7 linked regions of the Coturnix japonica genome follow. The protein of the gene in region 5 interacts with the protein of the main gene of each other region in a pairwise test. Links are inferred from orthologs where the notes say so. Each region holds a gene or a part of one and is shown on either strand. Other genes may lie near its edges. The genes, in order: PAK1IP1, PACSIN2, CHIC2, transcription elongation factor A protein 2-like, MEOX2, CHRD and FKBP6.

What was found.
Region 1: the proteins of MEOX2 (region 5) and PAK1IP1 interact in a two-hybrid assay, tested with the Homo sapiens proteins (2 studies listed by BioGRID). The two-hybrid records come from large-scale screens. The link is inferred for Coturnix japonica from reciprocal best matches to the Homo sapiens genes MEOX2 and PAK1IP1.
Region 2: the proteins of MEOX2 (region 5) and PACSIN2 interact in binary tests that used the Homo sapiens proteins (3 or more experiments, as listed by UniProt). The two-hybrid records come from large-scale screens. The link is inferred for Coturnix japonica from reciprocal best matches to the Homo sapiens genes MEOX2 and PACSIN2.
Region 3: the proteins of MEOX2 (region 5) and CHIC2 interact in binary tests that used the Homo sapiens proteins (3 or more experiments, as listed by UniProt). The two-hybrid records come from large-scale screens. The link is inferred for Coturnix japonica from reciprocal best matches to the Homo sapiens genes MEOX2 and CHIC2.
Region 4: the proteins of MEOX2 (region 5) and transcription elongation factor A protein 2-like interact in binary tests that used the Homo sapiens proteins (3 or more experiments, as listed by UniProt). The two-hybrid records come from large-scale screens. The link is inferred for Coturnix japonica from reciprocal best matches to the Homo sapiens genes MEOX2 and TCEA2.
Region 6: the proteins of MEOX2 (region 5) and CHRD interact in binary tests that used the Homo sapiens proteins (3 or more experiments, as listed by UniProt). The two-hybrid records come from large-scale screens. The link is inferred for Coturnix japonica from reciprocal best matches to the Homo sapiens genes MEOX2 and CHRD.
Region 7: the proteins of MEOX2 (region 5) and FKBP6 interact in binary tests that used the Homo sapiens proteins (3 or more experiments, as listed by UniProt). The two-hybrid records come from large-scale screens. The link is inferred for Coturnix japonica from reciprocal best matches to the Homo sapiens genes MEOX2 and FKBP6.

Annotation. Positions count from the first base shown.
Region 1 is NC_029517.1:66,932,803-66,935,729, forward strand, and holds the end of PAK1IP1 (p21-activated protein kinase-interacting protein 1), read right to left. Parts: intron 2,330-2,927; coding exon 2,203-2,329; intron 1,120-2,202; coding exon 953-1,119; 3' UTR 651-952; downstream 1-650. UniProt on the Homo sapiens protein: Negatively regulates the PAK1 kinase. PAK1 is a member of the PAK kinase family, which has been shown to play a positive role in the regulation of signaling pathways involving MAPK8 and RELA.
Region 2 is NC_029516.1:62,881,841-62,885,549, forward strand, and holds part of PACSIN2 (protein kinase C and casein kinase substrate in neurons protein 2), read right to left. Parts: intron 3,338-3,709; coding exon 3,181-3,337; intron 2,405-3,180; coding exon 2,169-2,404; intron 1,516-2,168; coding exon 1,360-1,515; intron 372-1,359; coding exon 196-371; intron 1-195.
Region 3 is NC_029519.1:59,097,644-59,101,352, forward strand, and holds part of CHIC2 (cysteine-rich hydrophobic domain-containing protein 2), read left to right. Parts: intron 1-3,143; coding exon 3,144-3,200; intron 3,201-3,366; coding exon 3,367-3,426; intron 3,427-3,709.
Region 4 is NC_029535.1:8,421,266-8,425,409, forward strand, and holds the start of transcription elongation factor A protein 2-like, read right to left. Parts: upstream 2,831-4,144; 5' UTR 2,713-2,830; coding exon of another isoform or gene 2,644-2,712; intron 1,784-2,643; exon of another isoform or gene 1,645-1,783; intron 1,570-1,644; 5' UTR 1,448-1,569; coding exon 1,358-1,447; intron 404-1,357; coding exon 341-403; intron 1-340. UniProt on the Homo sapiens protein: Necessary for efficient RNA polymerase II transcription elongation past template-encoded arresting sites.
Region 5 is NC_029517.1:25,764,084-25,768,255, reverse strand, and holds the start of MEOX2 (homeobox protein MOX-2), read left to right. Parts: upstream 1-1,281; 5' UTR 1,282-1,678; coding exon 1,679-2,189; intron 2,190-4,172. UniProt on the Homo sapiens protein: Mesodermal transcription factor that plays a key role in somitogenesis and somitogenesis and limb muscle differentiation. Required during limb development for normal appendicular muscle formation and for the normal regulation of myogenic genes.
Region 6 is NC_029524.1:13,952,598-13,957,002, forward strand, and holds the start of CHRD (chordin), read right to left. Parts: upstream 2,928-4,405; 5' UTR 2,896-2,927; coding exon 2,778-2,895; intron 2,449-2,777; coding exon 2,345-2,448; intron 1,856-2,344; coding exon 1,732-1,855; intron 1,600-1,731; coding exon 1,453-1,599; intron 1,379-1,452; coding exon 1,261-1,378; intron 705-1,260; coding exon 608-704; intron 527-607; coding exon 385-526; intron 296-384; coding exon 155-295; intron 1-154. UniProt on the Homo sapiens protein: Dorsalizing factor. Key developmental protein that dorsalizes early vertebrate embryonic tissues by binding to ventralizing TGF-beta family bone morphogenetic proteins (BMPs) and sequestering them in latent complexes.
Region 7 is NC_029534.1:199,757-203,917, reverse strand, and holds the start of FKBP6 (inactive peptidyl-prolyl cis-trans isomerase FKBP6), read left to right. Parts: upstream 1-1,201; 5' UTR 1,202-1,236; coding exon 1,237-1,411; intron 1,412-2,246; coding exon 2,247-2,336; intron 2,337-2,840; coding exon 2,841-3,043; intron 3,044-4,161. Other genes in the region: E3 ubiquitin-protein ligase TRIM50, read right to left, coding at 96-147. UniProt on the Homo sapiens protein: Has an essential role in spermatogenesis. It is required to repress transposable elements and prevent their mobilization, which is essential for the germline integrity.

The sequences.
Region 1 (2,927 bases), about 41 Mb from region 5:
GCTGCTGATTTTGGTTTGCTTCGAGGTTCTTGTGCCACTTCAGCACTGCTTCTGGTACCTCTTTGGGTCAGCCTCTCCCAGGAAACACCGATAGGGCAAGAGAGAATGGCCTCAAGTTGCACCAGAGGAGGTTCAGGTTGGATGTTAGGAAACATTTCTTCTCCTAAGAGTGGTCAGGCACTAGAATGAGCTGCCCAGGGAGGTGGTGGAGTCGCCAACCCTGGAGGTGGTGCAGAACCGTGTGGATGTGACACTGAAGGACATGGTCGGTGGGCATGGCATTCTGAAGATGAAGTGCAGACTGGCTTTTTGCTGGTGACACCTGGCTTCGGTCACTGTGATGCTCACAGCCATGGGCTTGTGTATTTGAAATTACAGTGAAAATTGTTCTATTAGAGGCAGCCGTTTTGCCCTAAGACAAAATGTTACATCTCTTTATTATATATAAATTTCAATGAGAGAAAAGCCTAAGTTGTGTGTTAACTGTAGGAGCCTATTTAAGTTAAAAACAGAACAACAAACTTCATTGCTGAATTAAACTGGGCTCATATTAATGGAGTTTACTGCCTATTCAGACATGGCATTCTCACAACTCATGAGTGGCAAAGGCAGATCATATTGTCAGTGGTCAGAACAGAGAACCTCCAACATAAGAATGAAAAATGATATAGAACTTTAATACGTATATAGTTGAGACACACAAGTTTAACTGAGGCAGATGTCGCTCTTTTTATCATTTTAGCTGGCTATTTTAGCTTCGTTCTCTCAGGTAAAGTTGCCATCTCTTTTATTGCTTCTCAAAGTGATCAGCCAATTCATCTGGGTAAAAAATAAATTACTCTGGAAAATCCTATCAGCTCTGAGGTATTTGTCCTCTGCTTGGAAAATATCCTTGTAAAAACTACAGCAACACCAGCAGTTACTTCTTATCCAGGAGAAACAGCATTCACCTTCATTCTGAGCTATTCTGCTTCTGCTTCTTTTTCTTCTTTTGCAGTGGAGCTTCCAATTTTCGCTTAGCTGGAACAATTCTTCTGCGTTGTTTTAGCAATTTACCACTTTTATTCATCCCACAAACTTTCTTCTTCTTGACTACTGATGGCTTCTCAGTTTCATTTGCTGAAAGAAGCAAGAAATTATTCACTCTGATATTTATTTCCAGTCTGTAGTCTAAAATATTACAGGCTTGTTTGTATCTCCCATTTAAAAAAAGGAGGAATTTAAACCATAGTTTATTTAGAGCGGAGTGTGCCAGCTACGCAACTTTCTGTTAAGAAAACATCTAAAGATCAAATATGGAACAACTTACTAGACAGGAAAACAACAGCAAAAAAACCCAAACAACTCATGCTACCAACCAACCCCTAAGCCAGACTTCCTAAGTTTGCCCAGCTGCACCAGCATCAGATCTAATTTTGTTCATAGGAATGCAAGAACATGCAGTTCTGTCAAATTGTTTATTCTTTTGTTATCTGTCCTGAGAGACAACCTACACCCAGGAGGGGAGTAAACTCTTTGAAAGGGCTGACAATAGCAGGACACGGGGAAATGGTTTTAAGTTAAAAGATGGAAGATTTAGGTTGGATGTTAGGGGGAAGTTCTTCACTAGGAGAGTGGTTAGGCCCTGGAACAGGCTGCCCAGGGAGGTTGTGGATGCCCCGTCCTTGGAGGTGTTCAAGACCAGGTTGGACGGGGCCCTGGGCAACCTGATCTAGTAAAGGTGTATGTTTGGTGGCCCTGCCAGGCAGGGGGTTTGGAACTACATGATCCTTGAGGTCCCTTCCAACCCGGGTCATCCTGTGATTCTGTGAGAGCTTCAGAGTCTCCCCCAGTGTGTGTTATTCCACTGAAGAGAAACAAAGCTTTCATATCCCAGAAGTGAAAAGCTGTCCTCTACTTACAATGCAAGGTATCACAAATTAAGTTTCCACACACAAAAGAACTATTTCTCTCCATTCCAAATCGTCACTCAGTTCCTGTGTGTGTGTCCGCTCACAAATAGTTTCCATAGTTGTGGCTTTATTATGTGCATGCTTGAGACACTATTAAATGGGTGCAGATATCTATGCAACTTGCCAGTGTCACATCCCCAATTCTTCAAACTGCAAAAGCTTTTTCCAAGGCATACAGTAAAAACCTCCCATTCACTATCTTACATTTCACAGTCACATTAACCACTGAACATACAGACAATTCTATTACCTTCAGCTGGTGTTGCAGCTTCTCCACAATTTTCTTTCGTTTCTGAAGCTTGGTCAAGCCACACTGCAAGGCATGTCAGCCGAGCTTTGGTGCTGACTTCACATAATAAGGATGGCACGTTTTCAATCTGAACATAGAAAAAGAAAATTAATTAATCATCACTTCTATTTAAAAATTTACTAAACTATTTAAACTGAGGAAGTATTTTATGGCCCAGTTCCCACTCCTTTTTGGGAGAATCATAGAACCACAGAATGGCCTGGGTTGAAAAGGACCACAACGATCATCCAGTTTCAACCCCCTGCTATGTGCAGGGTCACCAACCACCAGACCAGGCTGCCCAGAGCCACATCCAGCCTGGCCTTGAATGCATCCAGGGATGGGGCACCCACAGCCTCCTTGGGCAACCTGTTCCCTAGGACAATGTGGCACAAACACATGTGCAGAATGGCAGCACTGATCCTCTAGAAACAATTTCTAGTAATGCTATTGTGCCTCTCAGAGCTGGGCAGAGCAACCCACAGAATTATGCAGGGGTTTACGAAGATCTGTCTGTGCAGTAAAAAGAAAGAAAATCACACATTTGGCCAAAGTAAAGACAACAATATAGAGAAAGTTAAGAGTTCCTCAATCACTGTTTCAATCATGTAAAAGCAGACCTGGGATTACAGACGAAGGGGAAAAAAGGATTTTCACTACTGCACTTAATAGAATATAAAGAGGGA
Region 2 (3,709 bases), on a different chromosome or scaffold from region 5:
TACCTTTAAAGGTAACTAACAAATGCTAGGAATAGATGCTAACCAGATCTTAGACAAATCAAACAAATAATGTATTCCACTTTTAGTAAACTGAGCAACATATTAAGTCAGATTTTAAACCGACCTACTTGAAGCATGGATTACTTTTGGCTTAGAAATATTAAGCACTAGTTTTGAGGTCTTGCACAGTTTTACCTTGCAACATTAGACAAGTCAAGGTGTTTCTGAACTTCCAGTAACACTTCTCGAAAGAAACGTAAGCGTTTTTCCTCGAACTGCTGACACTGTTCAAATACCTGCTCCATGTTTTCCATATACTGAGGAGTGGCATTATCTAATTCTTTCAGTGATTTTTCATACTTTTCTTTTGTCTGAGGTGGAATGAGAAAAAAGGAAATCAATTAGCAATATTTTTATTACAGTCCTATGAGACCCACAAATATAGTATCAAGCAAGACCTGGAGTAAAATACACTGAACCACATTCTCATTGTATTACCACCATTACCCTGTTTGATCATGATGAGATTTACCTAACAAAATAACAAAACAATTACAATAAAGGCCTAAGCCTCCTCTCCAGCTTTTTAGAAATCATAAAAAAAGTAAACGTAATCCTAAATATAAAAAACAAAGGAGGTGTTTAGTATAAGAGCAAGTAGTCTTTCAATTTACAGGTTCTCTTAGTTAAAGATCTCCAAATAATTTTGAAGTCTTAGCATTTCCCCTTCAGCAATTTACGCAGTCCACCGTGAGTTACAAACAGAAAGAAGTATAACTGCATACATTCCTGTGAACATAAGTCACAAATCTAGTGAGCTCAGTTAACAAACACAATCTTGGACTCTAGATTAATTTACAACAGTAGTCCAGAGATAGTAAGAGATACCACCAAACATAATGTTGGCCATCCAGATCACAGAGCAACATTGGAAAGGGAAATATTTTCTTAAAAAACAGAAGTCACACATTCACTTCATTTAAATAGACTGTATCAACTTCATTTCCTTCAATAATAATTTTTTAAGAAGTGTGTATTGTACAGTCAGGAATGCTGACACATTTAGATGCCAGTACACTTTAAGCATCTATCTCATATTCTCTCAAATGAAGTAACTCTGTCCTCACTATCAAATATGAAGAACACTTGTATTATTCTATTTCTTTCCCTACTCAAAGTACTTACGTAAAATAGAGGTTATATCATCTGTTCTTCAGGAAAGAACATAGCAATGACATGCCTTGTTAAAAATCCCAAATTTTTGCATAGGACTGTTACAGAAGAAGCCGTGCTGCAGTCCACAACACATACAGGAGGAATAAGACCTTTACACATGGACAGCCTATATATTAGTCATACCTTTAGTACATCTTGTTTGCTTCTCTCCACTTTGTCTTGTAATTTCTTGAGTTGTTCAGGATTTAGCGCTGGATCAGCTTTACTATTTGTCTCTCTAGATATAGCCAGCTTCTCCTCTTTACAGGCCGCATGGTATGCTTTCTTTGCAGCTTCCACCTAAAAAGAAGATTTGAATCTCTACACCTGTGACACTTTATAAAACAACTGTGATGGTTTTATTTCAGGATGGGGGCTTTTTTTTTTTTTTTGGTTTAGGTTTTTTGGTACGTTTTTTGTTTTGGCCAAGGATTGAACACTACACAATAATCAGTGTAAGGAAATTCTTGTAGTACTTTGAAATCAACATATTTTACCATACAACAAATATCACTTATAAAAGCTTAGAAAAGTGAAGAAAGACTCAAGAAAGGTTTACAGGAAGTCTCAAGTACAACAATTTTTCCTCATGCCCATGTTCCTCTGCTCCCCTTCTTCTACAAACCTGTCATTTAAGAAGGTTGTGTTACAAGGAGAAAATCTGCAAATACTTTTCCCCGATCATTTCTTTGAACAACACGTAACATCCCAATGCATGGGACCAGATATTATTAAAATAACTTCAATTCTACTTTTTTTCAGATTTTCAGTGAAGTCACCAAGATTAAGAAGAGACCAAAAGAAAATACTTATTTTCAGAAGAGGACAGAAAGCAAGAGATCTTTTTGAGAAAGGAGGGTCCAGCAGAGAAAATAGGGAGTTTACTCCCTTACAGAGATTTGAGACATTAATATATTGTAACACAGGATATCTAATACAATCTACTGCTGTACCTCTTTCAGCTTTTTTGCCCAGGGTTTCTGAGCTTTCCTAAATCCATCTTCTGCTTCTTTGGTTTCCTTAAATCCTCCCATCATTTGTTTATGAAAGGCTTCCTTCTGCCAGTTCTTGATTTTTTCAAAGTCTTCATTCATCAGTGAACCTTTTACTTCTAGATGTAGTTCACTCACTTTTTCAGCTTCTGACATAAAAGCACACCAAGCCCTTTCTACTGTTCCATACTGTGGGCCTAAACACAACAGAAAGTGTCATTCTCAATAACCATCACCCACATGGAACTTATATTCTCAAGAGACTACCTGAAGCTATTGACTTACATTCATCTCTAAATAGGAATTCGTAGATAATTATGCAAATCTAGAAAAGGGATTTTTTTTCCAGACAGTTTTAGAATACAACATGTTACAATCATACTTAAATAATATTCATTTAGTCTGGCCTGTGTCTCCCTAAACTGCAATTTCCAATATTATGCTTATTAGCTCGTCTTTGAGCTGCCTTCGATTTCTCAACAGATTTTTAAGCATGGACAACCATGAAAAGAAAAGCTAACTCAGAATATAACTAAAATGCTATCAGATCAGCCTTTCATTAAAACATTACTTTTCTATTAATGTTTCCCCAGCAACCACTGACACCTTCTTAGGCAGACAAACTTTCAAACATTGTGTTCTCTACCATTATTTACCCAGAAACAGCTAATTCATAGAACTGAATTTATTTGGATACATCAACACCAGATGGCAAGATTCATCCATTTCCATAAGAAACAAGCAAATTAGAAAAGGAGCTAAGTCTTGTCTTTTGTTTGTTTTTTTTTGTTTTGTTTTTCTTTGTCTTAACCAAGGAAAGCTTGATCTTTGAAAGACCCATTTGTTACACTGCTAAGCCATTTGCAAAGGTTCCACTTAAGCTAAGCATTTCTACTTTCAACTTACCAAGAGCATTCCAGTCTTTTTTTCCTATTTGAGAAATCTTTAAGAGTTCAAAATGAGAATGTATTACCTTTTTCCACCAGTTGTTTCCATCTTTTTGCCCATTCTGTAAGTTGCTGAGCATAGACCTTCTCTATCCGTGCACGTTCATGAATACAGTTCATGAGATCGTTGCAAAGTCTGTGACCATCATCAATTCGCTTTACTGTCCGCTTGTAATTTCCAACCTGTAAAGATACAAACACTTAGCAATTCCTGCTTGAAACATCTGAAGGCAAGCTAAGTCTCTAATACACATACAGCAACAGTACAAGAAAGAATCTGCTATCAGGAATTCATTGGTTATACAATCCAGTATATCCAATTTTCAACTAATCTTAAAACCTAACTTATATAAGATATCAGAAATAAATTGTAGTATGATCTGCATGGAAGATGCTGGAAGTTCCCAGAAAGAACACCACAAGGGTGACAAGTCCTCCTGTAGGAAAAAAAGGTTATTAAAAAAGCAAGCTTGCCATTCAGTAAACACAGTTCAGTCAAATATAAATACAGCATTACAAAAGAATCTATGCATTATTAGTCTTGCAGTGTAAGTA
Region 3 (3,709 bases), on a different chromosome or scaffold from region 5:
CAACACAGATTGGTAAATACTCATTCTGACTTGGGCTTTTTTGGTAGTCTGAATTTCCAAAGAATACAGTCATACATTAACATCTTTAAACATCTTGAAAGTCATTTTATAGAGATTCTTTCATTAAAGGCTGCATCTAGACTGAAGAGCTCTATGTCACAAAAACACTTAGACAACATTAAACGCTGTCTGCTATTTTACAGAATATGTTACAAAGTAAACCTTCACATCATTGCTATTCTAAAAACTATATTTGAATTGCAGTTTAATATTTGATTAGATATTAATGTGTTTTCTAAGAAAAAATGTAAAAGCTGGATAGTGTTAGATCTTTTTAATAAGCAAGTCTCTCTTCCACTTAATTTGTGCTTTTGTTGTGGCTAACAAATAATTTGCTGTATAGGTTTTTCTGTACACCATTGACAGAATATATAAGCTTGTCATCCTAGTGTGTTGGAAATGCTACACTCAAATCAAGTGTTCCTTTCTGGTTTTGTATATCCTCACCTGCTCCTCACTGTAAATCATTGAGATGTCAAGAGCAGTGATTAATTAAGCTGCACGTGCAAGTGCTTTTTTTCACCTGTCAAGTAGGAAGAAAACTTACTATAGTGAATTGTGTGATGCTGCTTAATTCATTTCTTTTTATTCCAAGCACTGAGATTTGCAAAAATAATTTACATTCTAATTTTCATTAACATTCTACTATATGTAATGTGGTGTGATTTGAGACTTGTGTGTCTCCCAGTTTATACTCCAGGATGGTTTGGATGTACATCCTTGGGAACACAAATTATCATGGTCACAAGGCTGCGTGTGTTTTTATCTAATGCTGCTCAAATGACTTTAAACTGGGTTCCTATTTAAGACAACCAATTAATACTACATAACTACCTATCAGTTTCTTATTTATGTGTATGCATTGTAATATATTTGTAATTTTATTGGAGTTTGAAAAGCTTAGATGTTTTTCACACTCTTTTGGGCAAACAATGAAATTAAATTGTATAGTGATCTTAATCTATTATTAAGAGGTCCCGGCGAGGAAGATTACAAGGTAGATTCAGGTTTTGAATCGGTTTTGCCATTGGTTTAGCAGCGGGTGGGCAGGCAGATGCCTGCTCAGAGTAGAACCTATTGCCATTTTTCACCATTGATAGAGTAGCCTTTCAGAGTCAATGAGCTCTGTCAATGTGAGCTTGTCAAGGCTACAACTTCATAGACCTGAGAGGCGGTTTGAGAGGTCAGCCCTTTTCAGGTTTGCTGTGATGCAAATGAACTTTAATGCTTAAACAACTATTGGAATTTTTATGTCTGCTCCTTGTTCTTTTTTCTTCACAAAGTCATTGACGAGACATTCAGTGCTTTTTAAATTGGAAGTTGCATTGTGCTAAAGACCTAGTACAGATTTACGGAGGGCTGAAAGCAGTTAGATCATGTTCTTTTCATGGTGCGATTAGAATCAAATCGATTTCCCTACAGCCTTCAGCATTCAGATGGCAATTTTAACAAAGCTTGGGGGCTAGACAAGGGACAAAACGACTGAACTGAATGTTAATTACACTCTGCAGCCTTATTTTCTTTTGATTTGGAGCTGACTGGCAACTAAATTAACAAAAGTGTGACCATAACTGCTGCCCTATTTTCATTTAAAAGGAGAGCAGACTCTAAAAGGCTATCTTTACAAAGAAACAAGTGAGGTCTACTGATTATTGTTAAAGGGCACTGTCTTTAAAAACATAATAATAACAATAACCCCCAAAACGCTCAATTCCAAACTGAAGTGATAAATTAGTCGCTGGCACCTCCACCTTTGGATAATTCCTTGACTTACGCTTTTTAAAATACAGAATAATAAAAATTCAGTTTAATGAGTATTTATGGATGGCAATGATCTAATTTTTAATCACGTGACCTCAGTCCGTGCTCAGACGTGCTTCCCTGTAGCCACCACAATATTGTGTCGGAGAGTAACTGGAGTTTTTAAAGCAGAAAATGTTGTTATATGATGGGAAATGAATAATTTGTTGTCTGATTTTTAGTTTGCTCAGACATTCTTGTTTGCCAGGACAGCATTTAGCTTGATTTGTTAAGGTTCATTTACAGTACTTGTATTTTGTAGTAATAGCAGCAAGATGCTTTCTCATCCCTTCCCCTCACCCCTCTGTGCCTTGTAAGGAAGCTGCAGCTGCACTAAGTTGTATTTGATCCTTGTCATTGCTCCGTCCTTTTGCACCTGCAGCTCTGTTGGTCTCATCTTAACACCTGGCACCATGAATTATCCTCTATTTATTCATAGTCAGTAGCAAATCCCATTTAGAGCTAAGCAGTATATATTCTGGCAGTCAAATGACCATAAATGTCAGAATGTATTTCTCAAATGTAAATACAACAGAATAATTATATTCAAAATGCCGTGAAACTTTACAGCGCAGAAAGTCCTTTAATGCTCGTGTGTGTGGTTTGAAAAAGCTGCGAAGAAACAGATTTTGGAATTCTCTATCTGAAGTGTCAGCTGTGGAAAAGACAGGCATTCAAACTTGGCTTTAGAATCCTAAATACTGGGTTTGCTCTTTATACAAATCATAGGCTTTCTAACATTCGCTTCTGTTGAGTTACTGAAACTTCTTGCGTTTTGGATTCGCTCCCTAAAATCTGAGTATAAAAGTAACAACTCCTTTTTTGTTTGCTTTAATAGACTACTGCATGTTTGTACTCAACCTATGACACTGTAAAATACTGTTTGCAACTTTAGTCTGCTGAAATGCTGACCTTCTAAGAAGCAGCGTTTAGACCGCTGGTACTTCTGAGCTACGCTCCTGCATTTATACTTAGGTCACGTTAAAGTTTCTGTAACAGGTTTTGAAGCTGTAACTGCTACGAAGGTGAATATATGCGAACAGATTTTGTTCCAAACTGGTTATATCTTTCTACACTGTTTTGTCAATAGTTACTTGTGTGTCAAAAAAAGCAGTTTTCCCCACTGGTTACTTTTTAAAACCAGGGAAGTTTTGGTAGTGCTGCAGACCACCCTGTACTCAGTCACTGTCCTGTACCTCTCTCCTTTTCACACAAAAGCAGCTGCAAAACAAAGTTTTTCTAAAACCACTCAAGAGTAAAATTCTTTCTCATTTGTCTTCCAGACACGAAGATCGATTGAGAAGTTATTAGAATGGGAAAACAATAGGTTATACCACAAGGTGAGTGCCGCAGGGAGCAGCTTCGTACTGTTGGAGTTTGAATTGCACAGTATGGAAACAGATGCTTTTGTTGAACGAAAAATATGAAAGGTGGACAAATGGGCCAGTCTGTGTGCTGCAATAAAATACAGCTCATTTTTCTTCTTTTTCTTTCCTCCTTGTCTAGCTGTGCTTGCATTGGAGACTAAGCAAAAGGAAATGTGAAACGAATAACATGATGGAATATGTAAGTTAAAGGGCTGTTTTGTGAGTTTCTCTATTAAATGATCATTTATTTTGCTTCTGATCTTATTCTTTTCGTGATTATTAATCAGTAAAGGTGTCAGGAGCTTAATCGCCTTGAGTGCAAGGATTTTCTACGGTTCACAGATGCATGGTTTCATGTGCAGGACTGATTTATAAAGTTATGAATGACTTGAAAACAAGGCTTCACTGTGTTCTAAAAAATAATAAATTAATTGCCAAGATAAAATAGCTCAAACATGAGCTGATGGAGTGTGAAATTTTAG
Region 4 (4,144 bases), on a different chromosome or scaffold from region 5:
TATCTCCCTAATGTCTTGAATATCACCACTACAAAGACATAAAGAACTTCTTCCCCCAGCACACTGTCCTTTACATCTTCCCTTTTATTCTGAGCAGCTAAGACAGAATTTGAGTAACTGCCTCATCAGCTGTGCACAAACTTCAGGCAGCATAATGTGGCCTAAAGCTGTTTCATTGTCAGTCCAACACCGAGGTGCAGAGCTGTTTCCTAGAGGTAATATTTATTTTGATGCTTGGAGTAAAGCAAAAAGCCAGAGTAAATTACTACACTCATTTACACAACGTCTTGAGCTCATCCAGAGACAGACTTCAGCTCTGCACCCTAACTGTGCAACTCACCTGCAGTAAGTCCAAAGTCATGGGCATACTCTTCAGCTCCTTTAGTAAATCCATTGCACCATCCTGGAGAAGAAAAGATATAGAGAATGGGTGCCTCAGCTTTCAGTAAAGAAATGCAACAGCTGGGAATAAATTTAGAAAGTTGAAATCAAAGACAACAATTCTTCCTTAAAACATCATCAAGGCTGCTGAGCATTAGGCCACCACCTTCACCTGACAAGTTTAGGACCTCTAACACCTGAAAAATACACTTTGAATCACAAATGCTGCCTCAGCACCCATCTGGTTTGCAGGATTAATTCTATCCAACTGTTTTGTGAGTGCCAGTTATTGACATTAGGTTGTAAAAAGAGTTCAGCAGAGCTGCAAGAACTCAAGTCACCCACTTACATCTCAAAAGCATTGCCTAGAGCCACAGCTACCTGCATCCTCTTTCTACCACTTGAAGCTCCATGTGGCCACTTCCCAGTGGAAACACTGCCATCCCCCTCTGCTGAGAGCAGCTGGTACTAGGAGCAAAGCATCAAGCAGCAAAGCTAAGGGGCTGGTTGCTTGAAACTCATTATATAAGGTTTTCTTGTACCAGCTTCACATCCCATAATAATCCAGAAAATCTGCCTCGCAACCTTGTAGGTGCCTAAAATTGGTAGTACAAGACAAAAGGCAAGGACAGCAACATGAGCCACAACAAGCCTACCTCCATTCAGCCAACTCCTCCTTACCCTCTTCTATCAAACAAGGCCTTCCAGTGTTCACATCCAACAGCTCACTTCCAACACTAACAACTTCAAGCCCATCTGCAGCACAAGACCTATAGGACCCATCATCGTAGTGACATGGACAGACTGTCCTGCATTCTCTGTGCACAAGGGCTGTTTCCCATCCACTGCAGGAAGCAATCAGGCTGCTAGTGCCACCCTAGAGAACAGAGACTGAGAAAGCCAAATGAAAGCAGAAGGAAAGCTTCCAGCACACACAGAAGCAACTCACACCAGCATAAGCCACACATAGCAGTACCCAGGAATGAGCAGCTCCCCATCCAGGCAGGTCCAGACCTTTCAGTTCCTCCAACAGTAAAAAGGCTCCATTAAATCCAGCCCTTAACATACAAAAAGACCTGGTGATTCGTGCTTCTGTTATCAGAAGTGGAGCCACACATGGGGAAAACGGCAGCCAATAGGGATCCACACACAAACTAGAGCAACAAACAGGTACTCCAGGCAATCTCCCTGCAGGAAGAGTTTGCAAATTAGCGAATACAAAATAAACAGATGAGAAGCCAACCAAGAGGAAAGGTTGCATACCACTCTGTTAAGAAGCTGCCTCTTTCTCAGTGAAGCCCAGAAGCAAATTCAAAGTTACTACTTTCCTATTTCAACAACGGCATAGCAAACCTTCCATCAACAGGAACAGACATCACAGGCTGCACTGAGCCCAAGCACATGCTCCTGTTGGTACAACAGCTACACAGGTACCAGCGTTCAGTCCAACACCCAGAAGCTCACCAATCACAGCTGCACCTAATGCCCCATAACCCAACATTCATTCCCCTAATCCATTCCCCACCTCACCCATCACCTCCCACCCCTCCACACCTGGTCCCTTTGGTGTAAAGCCCTCCTTGCACCCAGTTTGCTTCCATGGTACTGCTGATGCTGTTGAGAAAAGCAGCAGCTGACACATCCCATCAGTCCCTCCCTCCCCACTGCAGGGACCCACTAGACACCTCATGAGACCCACTAGACACCCCATAAGACCCACAGCAGGCAGAGAGCAGCACAGCCAAACCCTTGTGCTCTAAAGGCTGATGGTGATAAGCAGAAGCTTATCTATAGGACAGGGCTGCAGGAGGGCGATACAGAAGCACTGGGGGTCACCTAAGGATGTGTCCAGGGATGCGGTGGGGATGCAAAAGGGTTTCCCCCCCCCAATAAAGAGGATGGGGAAGAAAGGAGTGCTGACTAGTAAGGAAGCAGAGAGCTGCAAGGTGTCGGGCTGGGGGGCACAATATGGGGGTAGAGGGGCTTCATAAGGAGAACACAGTGCCCTCCCATCCAACACAGACGGCTGGTAGAACAGGGTGGGATTAACCGCACTGCAATGGGGACGGAGGGCATAAGGGGATGGGGGGGGGAAAGGCCTTGATACCTGCAGGCCTGGGGAGGGGGCAAGGCTGAGCCCCCACCCTTAGAATGGGAACACAGAGCCGGCCCTTAAAACAGGGACCCCCGCCCCAAATAACGCGGCTCTATGGAAGGTGCCCCCTCCCCAATGTGTGTATAGGGGGGGAGGCCTCCACTCACCGCGTTCTTTTTCGCCACCATCTTGTCCAGCCGCTTGGCGATCCGCACGATCTCCTCCTCCCCGCCCATCGCTCCGCTCCCCGTAGCGACGATACCCGGGGGCTGTGACGGGGGAGGGACGGACGGACGCCGGTTGTTCCCGTTGCCCACCTCAACCCCCGCGACCGCAGTCCGAACGGGCGGCGCGCGGGGCACTATGGGATTTGTAGTCCGAGTCGCTCCCACCCGCCCTCCTCCTCCCAGCGCAAGGCCGAGAGGAGGGACTACAACTCCCAGCATGCTTTGCGCTGGTGGGGTGCGTTGGGAAATGTAGTCCGGCCCCTCCGAGGAACCGCAGGCCGCGTTCCACCCCCCCCCCCCCCCCCCATTTTAGGGCTGAGCTCATATGGCCGGGGGGCACCATAGGCCGGGCTGGGCACCTGCCCTTGGCACACCCCAGCCATAGTTCACTCCAGCCCCATGGTGTGCCCTAGCAAGTCCTAACACCTTCAGCCTCCAACCTTGAAGTGCTGCCCTTTATTAGTGCTGCCCTTTATAAGCTCCCCACACCCTGCCACAGGTGAACCTTGTCTACCCCTCCCATTGCCTGGCCAGGTGGGCTGAGCTTAATGGATGGCTGCAGCTGTGAGATGGGCTGTGAGCCCTCATAGATAGATAGATGGATAGATGGATGGATAGATAGATAGATAGATAGATAGATAGATAGATAGATAGATAGATAGATAGATAGATAGATAGATAGATAGATAGATAGATAGGAAGGGAGGAGGAAGGGAGGAGGGAGGAAGGGAGGAAGAAACCTTATGGTTGGGAAAGAGCCCCATGACCATGAGCCCCCATTTGGAAAGCAAATGGGATCCTGGGCTCCATCAGGAGAGGGGTGGTCAGCAGGGATAGGGAGGTGATTGTCCTCTCTACTCGGCTCTTGTGAGGCCCCATCTGTTGTACTGTGTCCAGGTGTGGAGCCCTCAGTATAAGAAAGAATGGAGAGTTTGTTAAGGGTCAGAGGAGGGACAGGAAGATGATCAGGGGGCTGGAGCACCTCCCCATATGAGGAACAGGTGAGGGAGTTGGGGTTTGTTCAGCTGGAGAAGAGAAGGTTGCGGGGTGACTCATTGCAGCCTTCAGTACCTGAAAGGCTTATGCCAGGAGGGGAGTAACTTCTTGTAGGGCTGACAATAGCAGGACACGGGGAAATGGTTTGAAGTTAAAAGAGGGAAGATTTAGGTTGGATGTTAGGGGAAGTTCTTCACTAGGAGAGTGGTTAGGCCCTGGAGACAGGCTGCACAGGGAGGTTGTGATGCCGTCCTTGGAGGTGTTCAAGACCAGGTTGGACGGGGCCATGGGCAACCTGATGTAGTAAAGGTGTATGTTTGGTGGCTCTGCCAGGCAGGGGGGTTGGAACTACATGATCCTTGAGGTCCCTTCCAACCCGGGTCATTCTGTGATTCTGTGACCACCAAGTCCAACCCTGCCCTGCTGCACCCACTGATCTCATCCC
Region 5 (4,172 bases):
GAAATATCAAGTTTTGAACAGTGCACGGAGGCAGCGACTTCTGCTTTGGACGCCGCTCCCTTTTTAAAGACCTCATTATTACAGTTAAATCTAGAGACAATACTTAAAAAGCATTAGATGGCAGAAAAGGGGGGAAAGTCTTACCGTCGAAAGGCTGCTGCAGGTTCCAGCTCAGCCTGAAACTGCAAGGAAAAGCGGAGCAGCTGCTGAACAAAAGTTTTAGATTTTTTTTTTTTTTTTTTCCCCCAGAAAGTCTGCAAAACTAATTTCCCACAAAATAGGACTCAATTTCCGTTTAAGAAACCAGCTCTTGCAAATCTCATACAATTCCTGATTTTTTCCAATGGCAATTCGAATTCATTTTATCTTTCGCACATGGACCCAAGAGTTTAGACTGAAATGACAGAGCGCGGTGCTTTTTCTTTTTCCTTTTATTTTTTATTTATTTATTTATTTATTTCCTTTTCACTTCAAGTTTGGTTTGCGGGGAGGACGAGGAAGGTAGAGCGAAGAGAAAGGGAGAAGGAACTCAGCGTTTCGGCAGCGGGCATCTCTTTGGGCAGCGTTCTGTAAGCGCTTTATCTTAATATAAACCCGTATACAGCCTTCCTCGGCGCTACTGCTAATCCCACGACACGCGCAGCCCGGGCTGTCCCTCTCCAGGTTGTCCCACTATAAAGGCTGCAATGTAGCAAATGGAGAAGCAGAGAAGTTGGGTAAACTGCGCTTTTGGAGGGGCAAAAGGGGCGACTTGTCTGTGTTCGAAAACACGTGGCGGCTCGCTGAGCGCCGGGAGTTTAGTTGTAGACCCACAGGCACTGGTGGTCCCTCCTGTCCTTAAGGGCGAGGTGTGCGCGGAGGTGACTGCGGGGCTGCGCTAGGCAGAACAGCCTCGCACAGCCGGGCCGTGCCGTGCCCAGGTACGCTGGGAGCTCAGGTGGGGCTGCAGCCCCGCGCCCTCCAGGTGTATTTGATTTCTCCCACACTTCGCCCCTGTGCACATCCCGCTGGGTGTCCTTTATCGCGCTCCCTTCTGGGAGAGGTGCGGTGCGGGGATGGCCCCATGGGGCCCAGACGCCCCCCGCCTCGCCCCGCATCCGTCCGGAGGGGGGAGCGGACAGCCCCGGCGGAGCGGCGGACGCGCTCCTCGCGTCGAGGGGGAGGAGAAGCCGCTGCTCCCCTCCGGGCCGCCCCCGGCCACCCCCCCCCCCCCCCCCCCCCCCCCCGGGGCGCGCAGCGCTGCCGCCCGCTGCCGGAGCCGCTCGGCGCGGGGACGGCGCTGGCGTTTTGGAGGGAGTTTGCATGTGGTCAGTGCTGTGCCGCTAAGCCAGCCCCCAGCTCACATTACACACTACTGTATTTATAACCTCTCGGAGCCGTTTCCCCCTTCAAGCAGTTCTCTGGGACCACCTTCTATTGGCTTCAACCTCTCCCACTTCTTGACATCCGAGCGGCTCTGAGAAAGGCTCATCTAGGTCCGAGTGTTTATGCAGCGGAGACTGGCCGCTAGGGCTAAAGACCTGGATTATCTGAGCTCAGTCGCCTGCTGCAAAGTCGGTCGTTGCCGTTTTGGAAAAAAAAATCCCAGCCCCGATCTGTTTACAGTGAAAGTTGACAAAGGGTGGTGAAGTTGGATCCTTCCTAAACTCTCCTGCCTGGAACCTGAGACTTGCATGCCATGGATCACACACTCTTTGGCTGCCTGCGCAGCCCCCATGCCACCGCGCAGAGCTTGCACCCTTTCTCCCAGTCTTCTCTTGCCCTGCATGGAAGATCCGACCACATGTCCTACCCCGATCTGTCTTCTTCTTCTTCCTCTTGCATAATAACGGGATACCCCAATGAGGAGGGCATGTTTGCCAGCCAGCATCATAGGGGGCACCACCATCACCACCATCATCACCACCACCACCACCAGCAACAGCAGCACCAGGCTTTGCAGACGAACTGGCACATCCCTCAGATGTCGTCTCCTCCCGCCGCGGCCAGGCACAGCCTCTGCCTCCAGCCGGACTCAGGAGGACCCCCGGAGCTGGGCAGCAGCCCCCCCGTGCTGTGTTCGAACTCCTCCAGCCTGGGCACTACCACCCCTACGGGGGCAGCGTGTGCGCCGGGGGACTATGGCAGGCAGGCTCTGTCCCCTGTGGAAACGGAGAAGAGATCTGGGAAGAGGAAAAGCGACAGCTCAGGTAACGGCGGCTTTCCCTGCGGGGAGGGAACCCCGGGCGGAGGGTGTCGGGGAGCTGCGCTGCAGGGCCCCGGCTGTCTCGGCTCGGCCCTGCTCCGTTTGCAGCGGGGCTGCCACCGGGCTGCCCTCGGCCGCGTTCTCGGGATGTCCGTCATTAAGGGCAGCTTTATTAGGGCCGCGGGGGGGGGAGAAATAAAAAGGAAAAATCCAGCACGTGATAGCGCATGAAGTAGTGAAGGTGGCGGTGGCGGGAGGAAAGTTTCCATCCGACAGGGCGAGAGCTTTCGTAGTTTCGGAATGGATTTTAGCATCTGGCCCCTCGTCCCCCTCCCTCTTGCCGATCCGCCACCTCTGCTTCGAAGCTGGGGACGGGACACGCTCCTTGCCTCCGCCCTGACCGCGGGCTGCGGCATCGCGGCGCTGAAGAGGGAGATCGCAGCGTGGGGCTGCACGGGACGGTCCGAAGCTTTTGCGCTCCGTGCGTAGGATCTGGCCGTGCGTGCAGCTCGGTCCTCGGCGTGGAAGGGGAGAAAACTGGGGTCCGTAGGCCAAACGGGTGATTGAAAGCTTTAGAAAGTTGCTAGTACCGGGGGCGGAGGGAAGGAAGGAGCTGTCTGACTTTTCACAACACCACAACTCTTGCTTAAAGACGAGCAGAAAAACATATAGAGCCGCAGTTATTTTAGGAGGGTGATTCAGGAGCTCTGAGCGCGCAAAAGCCTTGACATAATCTCTGCTTAAGCCGGCTGAGCCTGGCATGGGCAGCTCTGACCGAAGGCGTGCGGTGCAGGCGATGTGAAGATAGCACACACAAACCAAAGGGCCGTCAGGGATGCAGCGAGGGGGCAGTGGGCACTTGGGAAGGAAAGGACTCGGTGCTCTGAGAGCTCCTGAGCGGGCGTAGCGAATTGTATATTATCAAGGAAGAGAAAGTGAAAGGCTTTTCCACAGAGCTGTGGAGTTCCCAATCGAAACCGTGACCTCTTGCAGCCAAAATGTTGTTGGCTCAGTAGAGTGGTGGACGATTGGAACCGTTTAGGAAAATGACCCCAAAGGATACCATTATTACATTAATAAATTAATTTTGTCATTCAAGATAGGATTAGTTGAGTTTTATCTCATGTAGCCGGGCTGAAAAGTCTTCCAGGAATGAAAGCTGTACTTTGTCAAACAGCGGTGGTGAATTCCATCATTGCATCTTCCTTACGCTTTATGAAATAAAAGGAATTGTCAGATTTTTGTGCGGCAGATGGGGAGTGCTACAATTTGAGTCCCTGTTACTACTGAAAAATGCCTGTCGGTGTAGGGATTTATTGTATTTGTCAGTGTACTTAAAGCTGAAGGGAAAAAAAGGAAATGGGTCCCTTTCACTGACAGGGAAGTATCCGTATTGCTTTCTGTTTATTTAATTTTGTGATGCATACAAAAAAACACACTGAGGAATGTCACAGATTGTATCCTGAAATGACTGCAGCCTTCCATTGGATTTAGTGGACACGGGTGGGAACATCAAGTTGCGATTGTGCTTACATTGATAGCACTGTGCTACACACCTCACTTTCTGAGACTTTCAGAAGACCAAAGTAGTTAACTGCTGATTGCCCCCTTCTCTCTCCGAGGAAGAAAGCGTTCTGTCCATTCACACAATGAGGAACTTCACAAACTGAAAATAGGCACCTTCTGACAGCAGCTGGGTAGCTCCAATGTCTTTGGTTTTTCTTCAGGAAAAGGCAGAATTTTGGACCAACCATTTAACCCCACCCCTTTATTAATCCTAAGCTCTGATGCTACTTAATGCCATCCTAATGTATGGCAGCAAGAACTGTTGTTAGTCGCTGCATTTCTATATTTGTAATCCATAATCGCCCCTCATTAGATTAAAAATCACTCCCTTTATTTCTCATTAATCTGCTTTTTTAAACAAATGGACGTCCTTTAAAGCATTTCATCCCCCCTCCCTAATTTTTGGTGACAGATTCATCAC
Region 6 (4,405 bases), on a different chromosome or scaffold from region 5:
TGCACCCCCACACACCCTGTGCCCCAAAATGCACATCTGAATCCCCCTGCGCACTCCCATCCTGACCCCATGCATCCCAAGCCAATTGCACACCATGGACCCCCAAGTCCCCCCAGTGATGCCATGCCCTGCAGGTGCCCGTGCCCACCCTCACCCCCAGCTCCTGGCTCCAGTAGCCCACGGGCCATGAGGATGAAGTGTAGGTTGTTCTCAGTGTCGCTCAGTGTCAGCATGGCCATGCCCCCGGCCCCAAGATGTGCAGGGTCTGATGAGGTCAGGATGGCACCAAATGTCTCTGTGCAGGGAGAAAGACATGAGGAGCACTTTAAAGGGAACCCCCTCAGGGGGTACATGGGTGTGGGGGTACATGAGGGTGGATCTTACCTGCAAAGAGTGCACGGTGCTTCAGGATGTGTCCATGCACCTCTCCGGAGGGCTGAGCACGGGTGATGAGGGACACGCGGAGCTGCTCTGCACGCAGCAGCTGTATGTTGGCTTTGGACACTGTCCTCCACATCCCACAGAGCTGTGGATACAGCAGAGCTGGGCATGGGGCACCGGCATTGGTGTGCCATGCGCATCACCCTGCCCTGCCCACTCCTCTCACCATGCCGTCCTCAGGGGCTGCGTTCTTCTGCACTGGGTGCTCAAACAACACGGTGCCCTCAGGGTCACTGAAACGCACACGGCTCGGCCGGCCCAGCCTGCAAGCACCAGGGGTTGAGCAGGGACTCCTAGCCCACGTGCCTGGCACCGGCCCCATGTAGTGCCTGAGGGGGGGTGGGACACGGAGCAGGGTGCCAGCTGGCATTGGTGCCAAGGGGTCCCCAGGTTGGCACCGTGTGGGAGGGAGTGCACATTTGGGAAGGACGGCGGGAGCTGAGCGCTCGGCCTGGCTGTAAATTAGGAGCATTTTCAGCTCAGTTTGGCTCCCCCTGGTTGGAGCTGGAAATTAGTCACCACTTTACTATGTAAAGGGGCCTGGAAGTGAGGAACAGCAGAAGCAACCCGTGCGGGAAGGAGAGAGGGAGAGACAGACAGCGGGCACTGGGGGAGGGCAAGGGTTTAGGGTCCTGTGGTGGTACCCATGAGCTGGGCCATAGGATGGCACAATGCCTGTCTCCCACTGCACCCACAGCCCCCTCCCAAAATCTCACCCCACCAACACAATGCTGTGATAGCACTGAGGGCAGGTAGAGGGGAAACTGAGGCACGAGCAGCATCGCATCCCCAGGTTTGATGGTTTCAGGCTGTGCTCACCGCTCGTAGCTGATGGAGAAGAGCAGGTAGGAGCGCAGCAGGGTGAAGCGAGCCTTGGCCACTGCACCGGACGTGGGGTGCCACGGCTCGGGGCCGCTCGTCAGCAGGGCCACGAATTCTATGGGGGTGAATTACAGTGATTACTAGAGGAGCACGGGGATGCCCTGCACCGCTTTTCCTGCCTGGGCTCACCTGTGCGGGCATCGTCGCGTGCCAAACCCTCGGAGCTGAGGTAGGAGCGGTCATTGTATGGCTTGTCCAGCTCGTCCTCCTTGTCCTGGAAGTACTCAAAGGTGTCGAAAGGTGGCTCGGAGCTCTTCTCTGGGGGTCCTGGCAAGGCTGGCGTGGGAGGCACAGCAGGGAGATGGATGTGGCACGGGTAACCCTGACACCAAGGAGCCCCTCCGTGGGGCTGCCCAGTGTCTCATGTCCCAGCCTGAGCCCAGCAGTGGGTGAGAGCACCATGCTCACCTTTGGGGCAGGTGTGGCAGCAGTGCCCGGGCAACAACGTGGCACGGGGGCAAGTGGGAACAGGGCAATCCTGCTTCATGTTCTTGCAGTTCACTTTCCCCACTGGTTTCCCTCGGCGATTCCTCTGCTGGGGTGGTAAGAACTGTGTCAAATTGTGCCTAATTATGCCACAGATACAGCTAACCCCAACATCCAGCCCCAGTGGATGGCACAGCAGTGGGTACCAGTGTTCCTCTGGTGCAGCCCCGATCCTCTCAGCCCATCTGCACAACCCCTGGGCCCCACACACCTTGCACAGCCTCCAGCTGTTTGTATGGCAGCCAAATCCCGGCCCCCACCCCCCTGCCCAGCTGTGCACAGCCCCTCCAGCCCTGACCTCGGGGGGCTGCTGGAGGGAGGGGGCCGTCTCCGAGGAGGGGAGGGAGGAGAATGAAGCATGAGCCTTTAACCCTCCGCTGCTGGGGGGTATCCAGGTGTGGCATCGGCTGGAGGAATCTCCGCTGCCGTTTCCCTCGGGGCAGGGGTAATGAACGAAGGGGTGATCCCGTCCCCAGCAGGGCCTCTTGTGTGGGGGTCCCCTATCCTGGCAGGGGAGGGGGTGGGGGGCACTCACCGTCTCGCAATGGCAGATCACGCAGCGCATCACCCCGAAGGGCTCCCCCAGGTCGGGGTGCCACGTCTCCTCCAGGGCATAGAAATGCCCTCCGAAGGCACAACCTGCAGATGAATCCCCACCCCATCATCGGAACACCCCCACAAGAAAAAAGTCACCTCCGGGCCGCGGGCACCCCCCTGCCGCAGCCCCGATGGGGCGGACAGCGTCCGGCACCGCCCCGTCGGGTACGGACCCGGTTATTGGGACCGAACGGCAGCACGGGCAGGCGGGGGTGGGGGGGGACGAAGTTGGGGGGCATAAAAGGGATGCACCGGGGGGGGGGGGGTGCCGGAAAAGAGGGTGCACGGGTTGGAAGAAAAAGGGTTGCATGCAGCGGGGGTGCACGGAAAGGGGGATCGAAGGGAAAGGGGTGCAGGGAGGGGGGTCCTACCTGCCGTCCCCCCGGGGGGCAACGGATCGCTGTCGGGCCGGATGGGCAGGGCGAGCTTGGGGCGGGCGGTGCGGGCGGGCAGGGCGAGCAGGGCGAGCAGCAGCAGGGCGGTGCGCATGGTGCCGGGGAACCGGGGGAACCGGGCGGCCGGGGGCGGGGAGGGGGGGCCGGGCGCTGCCTGCCGCCTCCGCTGCCACCGCCTCTGCCCGGCCGCCGGCCCCGGCCCCGCTTTATAGGCGGCGGCATGGGCAAGCGGGAGCTGCGAGCCCTGTGCAAACAAAGGGCCGCTAATGAGGCGCAGGCAGCGGCCGGCCGGGGGGACGCGCCCCCGCCGCGAACCGAGCCCCCCCTCCTTCCTCCCAAACGGGTCCCGGCCCCCTGGGCATAGGGACCCCCCCCAGCCACTGACCCCCTGCTCTGGGATAATAGGGTACCTACGGAGAACCCGTCCATGAAGCACCATTAGGGACCCCTTGGCACGGAGCATCCCTTGGATCCCCCTGAACCATTGGTCCCCTCCCAGACATGGGGTACCTCGGGTATGGAGCCCCTGCTCACATAGCAACCTTGGAGCATGAGGGTCAAATGTAACCCCTTCACCTGCATGCCCCTGGTCAGGGTGTGGGGGACCCCCGTCACATCCACACAGCACTCACTGGGGCAATGCAGAACCCACACTCACACCCCCCTCTGTGGGGCTTGGGGGTATTTCTGGGCACTGGACACCATGAGTACACCCCAATCCACATCCCCCCCTCACACTCCACCAGGACATAAAGCCCCTGCAAGCCCTCATTTCCCCCACACCATTGGATCACCCGTGGGACAAAGGGCACATCTCCCCTCAGCATCCCCCACAAATCCACTCTGTGCCACGTGTTGTCAGACTCACGCACCCCACAACATGTGCCTTTGGCATCCCCAGATCCCAGGGCAGAGGGCGACCCCAGAGCAGTGCCACAGGACTGTTCCCACGAGCATAGGGACAGGACCTGGGGTCCCAAGGAGGTGCCACGGCCGAGGATACGGGAACAGCACCCAGTAGGGATCCTGCTCTTCACCCACATGAGCCCGGGCTGACGAGGGCAGCAGCGGTGGTGGGCAGGGAGCAGACACCATGGGAAGGCCTGGGGAGAGCACAGTGTAGCTGGGGAAACTGAGGCACGGGGCAAAAGGAGAGAGGGGGGTGGTGTGTCCCACCCGTGTCTCCCCCACCAGCAGGGAGGGAACGGGATGCCGGGTCCCCCCCCACCAGTGGGAGGCGGGCGGGTATGCAGGGGAGGAGGGGGAAACGCCGGGCTGCCAAAATCAACTCTGGGCGGTGCAAACAGCCGGCCAGCTGCACGGTGTAACTAGGGAAACACGGCGCAGCTGGAGCACAACAGGCCCTTACCTCCCCAGAAAGCTCCTCCTGGGCCTCCCCACAGCACAGCGAGCAGCTGGGGGGGCTGCAACCCCACGCACCGCGCCCTTGCTGCCAGGGTGCCCCATCCCTGTGCCCTCCGCACTCGACACGAGCGAGCCCCAGCAATGGGGAGCCGGGTTTCCCCGACGGGACGTTCCGCCGGCACCTCCGGGGATGGGACACCACGGCTATCCCATGTGTGACGCCCTACTGCTCGCAATGG
Region 7 (4,161 bases), on a different chromosome or scaffold from region 5:
CTCACAATTAAACCTCATTATGTCCGACTCGCCACCACTCACGTGCCCTGTGCTGCCTCCTTTGCCCTGGCTCGGCTCTTCCTGGTGCCCCACACCTGATGAACGTCCCTCGGCTTCTCCTGACCAAGCTGAAGAGTTCAGTCCCATCCGAAGGGCGGACGTGGCAGGCAGTGGGTGAGCGGCCCCTCAATGGGTGAGGAGCAGCTGCCCCCCGGCCGACTGCCCCACTGTGTCTTCAGCCCCACAGAGGCTGTTCCTGCTTGTAAAGTGCTGCAGGGTCACCAGCAGCAAACACAGCAGTGAGCAGCGAGTTCTGGTGTCCTGCAGCCCAGGCTGTGCCGATGGTACCTCCTCCTTCTGCCCCCTGAGGCTGCCCAGTGCTTCGTGCACCCAGTACAAACACATCATATGACTCAGAGCCTTGATAAGCAATGAAGCTGTTTGCCTTGGTGGTGGTTTCGGTGAGTCCCACTCTGCTTTCAGTCACTCACAACACTTGGATCAATGGAAACATGTGCACTAGAAAGCTTTGTTAGCAGCTGAAACTTCTTTGGTTGAGTGTTGGATTTTTGTTTGTTTTTGTTGGTTTGGTTGGTTAGAACTGCTTCACTCTTAGAGAAGACAGAAGACAGAACCCACAGTCACAGGATCACAGTCACTGGGGTTGGAGGGGACCTGTGGAGCTCCCCATCCTCTAAAGCAGTTCTGCACTGCACAGGGCATCCAGACGGTGCTGCATGTCCCCATTGGACACTCCCATCTCCGAGCTCCCCGTTCATGTCTCCTGCACTCCTATAGGAAATCGGTTCTTCCCCACATTTCCATGGCTGTTGTAACTTCTTGTTGCCCCGTTTTGTTGCTGCACACACACAAGGTCCTGACCCCATCAGCTCCACTCCCCCACTTCGGGCACTCACATACAGTGCTGAGCTCCCCCGTCCTCCTGTGCTGCAGGTGAGCAGCTTCTGATGGTGCAGGAGATGCTTCATTTCCCCCCATCTCTGTGGCCCTAAACCTACATCCCCCATAGAGCCCCATAGTGCCCCATAGAGCCCCATAGAGCCCCATAGTGCCACGCGAGCCCCGTGTCGCTCCCTCCTCCCATTGGCCAGGGGCCGCGCAGGACCGTTCCCGCCATCCTGGCGCGCCGGCGCGTGGCTTTTTAGCGGCGGGAAATCCTCGGATTGTGATTGGCCGGGGCCGGGGGGCGGGGCCGGGCTGGTGGCGCGGAGTGCGATGGAGGCCGGCGGCGAGGTGGGAGTCGGAGCCGGGTCCGAATCCGAACTGTGCTCCCGGTTCCGGAGCGCGCTGTCCGCCGCCCTGCAGGACGTCACCGGGGACGGCGGGGTGCGCAAGGAGCTGCTGCGGCCCGGCACCGGGCAGCTCGTGCCGCCGGCTGCCACCGTGGCGGGTACGGCCCCGGCCGAGGGGCCGCGCTGCGGAGGCGCCGTTACCCCGGTACCGGGGTGGCCGAGCCGGGAGGGCTGGGGGGGTTTTGCTGCTCCTGTCCGCCCTTTGGCCGGGCCGTGTGTTGGTTGGCCGTGCCGTGTGTCGGCCGTGCTGTCTGTTGGCTGTGCTGTCTGACCGGGCCTGTGGAGCACAGCCCCCATCCCGAGGGGCCCTGAGCTTGGTCACTGAGTGCACGGAATTTCCTCGGCACTTGTTGCAGCTGACAGGTTGAACTGAAGGGCGTCTCGACCTTGAGCAGAGCTGGACCTCCAGCTCCCAGCCGTGTGCACAGCACAGGGTTTAAGCTGGAAGGGGTTCCTGTACAAGGGCCTGACGAGTGGCAGGGGAAGCTCCTTATGGTGTTTCTCCTCATTGAGTGACAACTGGAGCTGGCCTCGCTCTGGCAATAGCAGCTCAAGGACTGTGTTTGGTCCTTTATTTGTTCCCAGGGCTCCGGCTTTGAGAGCAAGTTTGTGAAGTCCTGCAGATAACTGGGGTGTTTTCATTCTGTGGCTTAACTTCCCATTCTCCCCCTGTCTGCAGCTCACTGGTTCTACACAAAATTGCATCTCTCGTTTAGATAAGAATAAAGGCTTCTAAGCAGCTGTTTTACCCAGTGCTGATGCGATCAGGTTTTTGTTAGTGGTTTGTGCTCCCTCTGCTGCTTTAAAGCAGCGGGGAGGAAAAAAAGCGTGGTTGCAAAACTGACTGAGTGTACTACTGACAGCATTGTTATCAGACACAGTATGTAAACCTTGCTGTTCTCTCCTGTCTGCTCCTTGTTCTGGGCCGTGCAGTGAAGTACTTTGGGTATCTGGAGAACATGGAGAAACCTTTCTGCACAAACTGCACCAAGAAGCTCCCGAAGCTGATGAAGCTTGGAGAAGGTAGGTTGGTCCTGGGTCTCATGGGGTTCTAATGGCTGCCTGTTAGGGCATGTAAATTTAATTGCTGTCTGGCATCTTGAGGTCTTTTTGAAATCTCTAAAGCTTCTGAATGGAATCAGAAAGCCTTTTCCTTGTAGATGGAGGTCAGACTGGAGCTGATCACACACCATGCCGGCAGTGAGCAGCAGGGCCTGTGCTGTTGGTGGCAGTGTGGTGCTTTCTGCTGTTGTCTTTAAGCAGCTTCTCACCTCAGTGTTTTTAAATCACTCAAGAGGAGACAAGAATGTCTGCTGTGTGCTTGGTCCCACGGCAGTCTGCCTCATTAATCCAGACGTGAGTTGTGCAGCAGTGTGTGCCTCGAGTTGTGACAGTGGGGAACTGACCGCTGTATTGCTCTGCTAACAGGGACTTCCTCTTAAAGCCTGGAGGAAAATTCTCATTTGGAACCTGAGATTGGGTGCTGGTTTGGGGATTCTCATGACCTTCTGTTTCTTGTTGTGACAGATATCACACTGCAGGGTCTGGAGATTGGTGTCCTCACGATGAAGAAAGGAGAGGTGGCAAGATTTATCTTCGCACCGAGTTATGCCTACGGCCAGCAGGGTTGTCCTCCTCTGATCCCCCCAAATGCCACGGTCTTATTTGAAGTGGAGCTGATAGACTTCCTGGACTCTGCTGACTCTGACACATTCTTTGCGTTGACAGCTGTGAGTTGCTTTAATAAGGCTTGGGGCACAAACCTGGAAGATAAACTTTGCTGTCTTTCCCCTCACTTGTTGAGGATCGTATGTTACATATGTTTGTTTAATGCAGGAGCAGTTTTCCAGACCTTGGGTTGCTGGATCCGTGCAGATATGAGCCCTTTAGAGTTTATCTTGCACACCTTGTCCTGTTTACAGCCCAGTGCAGGGGGAGAAGCTGGGTGCTGCCTTTGTTTGCTGCCCCGTAGTGGAGTCGATGAAACAAGTTGCATTTATTTTCAGCTTTACCAGAAACCATAAGGTTTCACTAGAGGGCACCAGCTTCCTGGAAGTTCTCTGCAGTGGCAGAACAGTAACTAGCTCTGTTTAAAAACAAAACCCTTGTGAAGTCTGGAGCATTGAAGTGTCCCCTGCCCCCCACCCTTTGTCTTTGTTTCTTGGCTGCTTTCCCAAGTGCTCCTTCACTGCTCACTCTCCTCCCTGGTGAGTTACCATGTTATTGTTAATTCTCCCTTTTCATGTAAGAGGTTTTGGGTTGTAGTTGTGGGTCAGTGATTGGGGCACACAAAGCAATGCTGATGGAGGGAGGCCCTCCTCATTCCCTCACAGCTCTTGCAGAGGCTGCTTTTTCCACACCCAGCCCTGAGATCAAACTATCTGTTGCATGGGGGAGAGCTTACTCCCCAGCTTCCTAACTCATCCCTCTCTGGAACTGATTCAAACTTCAGAACCCCAGGGACAACCTGCCCATCTTTTGTTACTCTTCTTTTTTCCTTTTTCCACCCCTTTGCTGGATTTATGTCCTGAGCTGTTGTCAAGCTGATCATGGAGCCACCCAGTGCTGCACTGTTACAGCAGTGTGCCTTTCCCTTTTATGCTAGGAATAGTGCTTGTTTTTTGTTGTTTTCTTTTTTAGTGTCAGCTGTCTGCTCTCTGCTGAGCAGTGGAGAGTAGGGCAGGATTTAGGAAGAAATTCCTGCTTTTTTTCTTGCAGGGTCCCTTTGTTTCCTGACCTGTTTTTTAGCGCTTCTTGCCAGGAGTTACCAGCACAGCAGCAGTGCAGAAGGGAATCACTGTGGTGGTGGCCTGGCTGAATGCTGAAGGGCTTTGGCAATGGTGCAGGG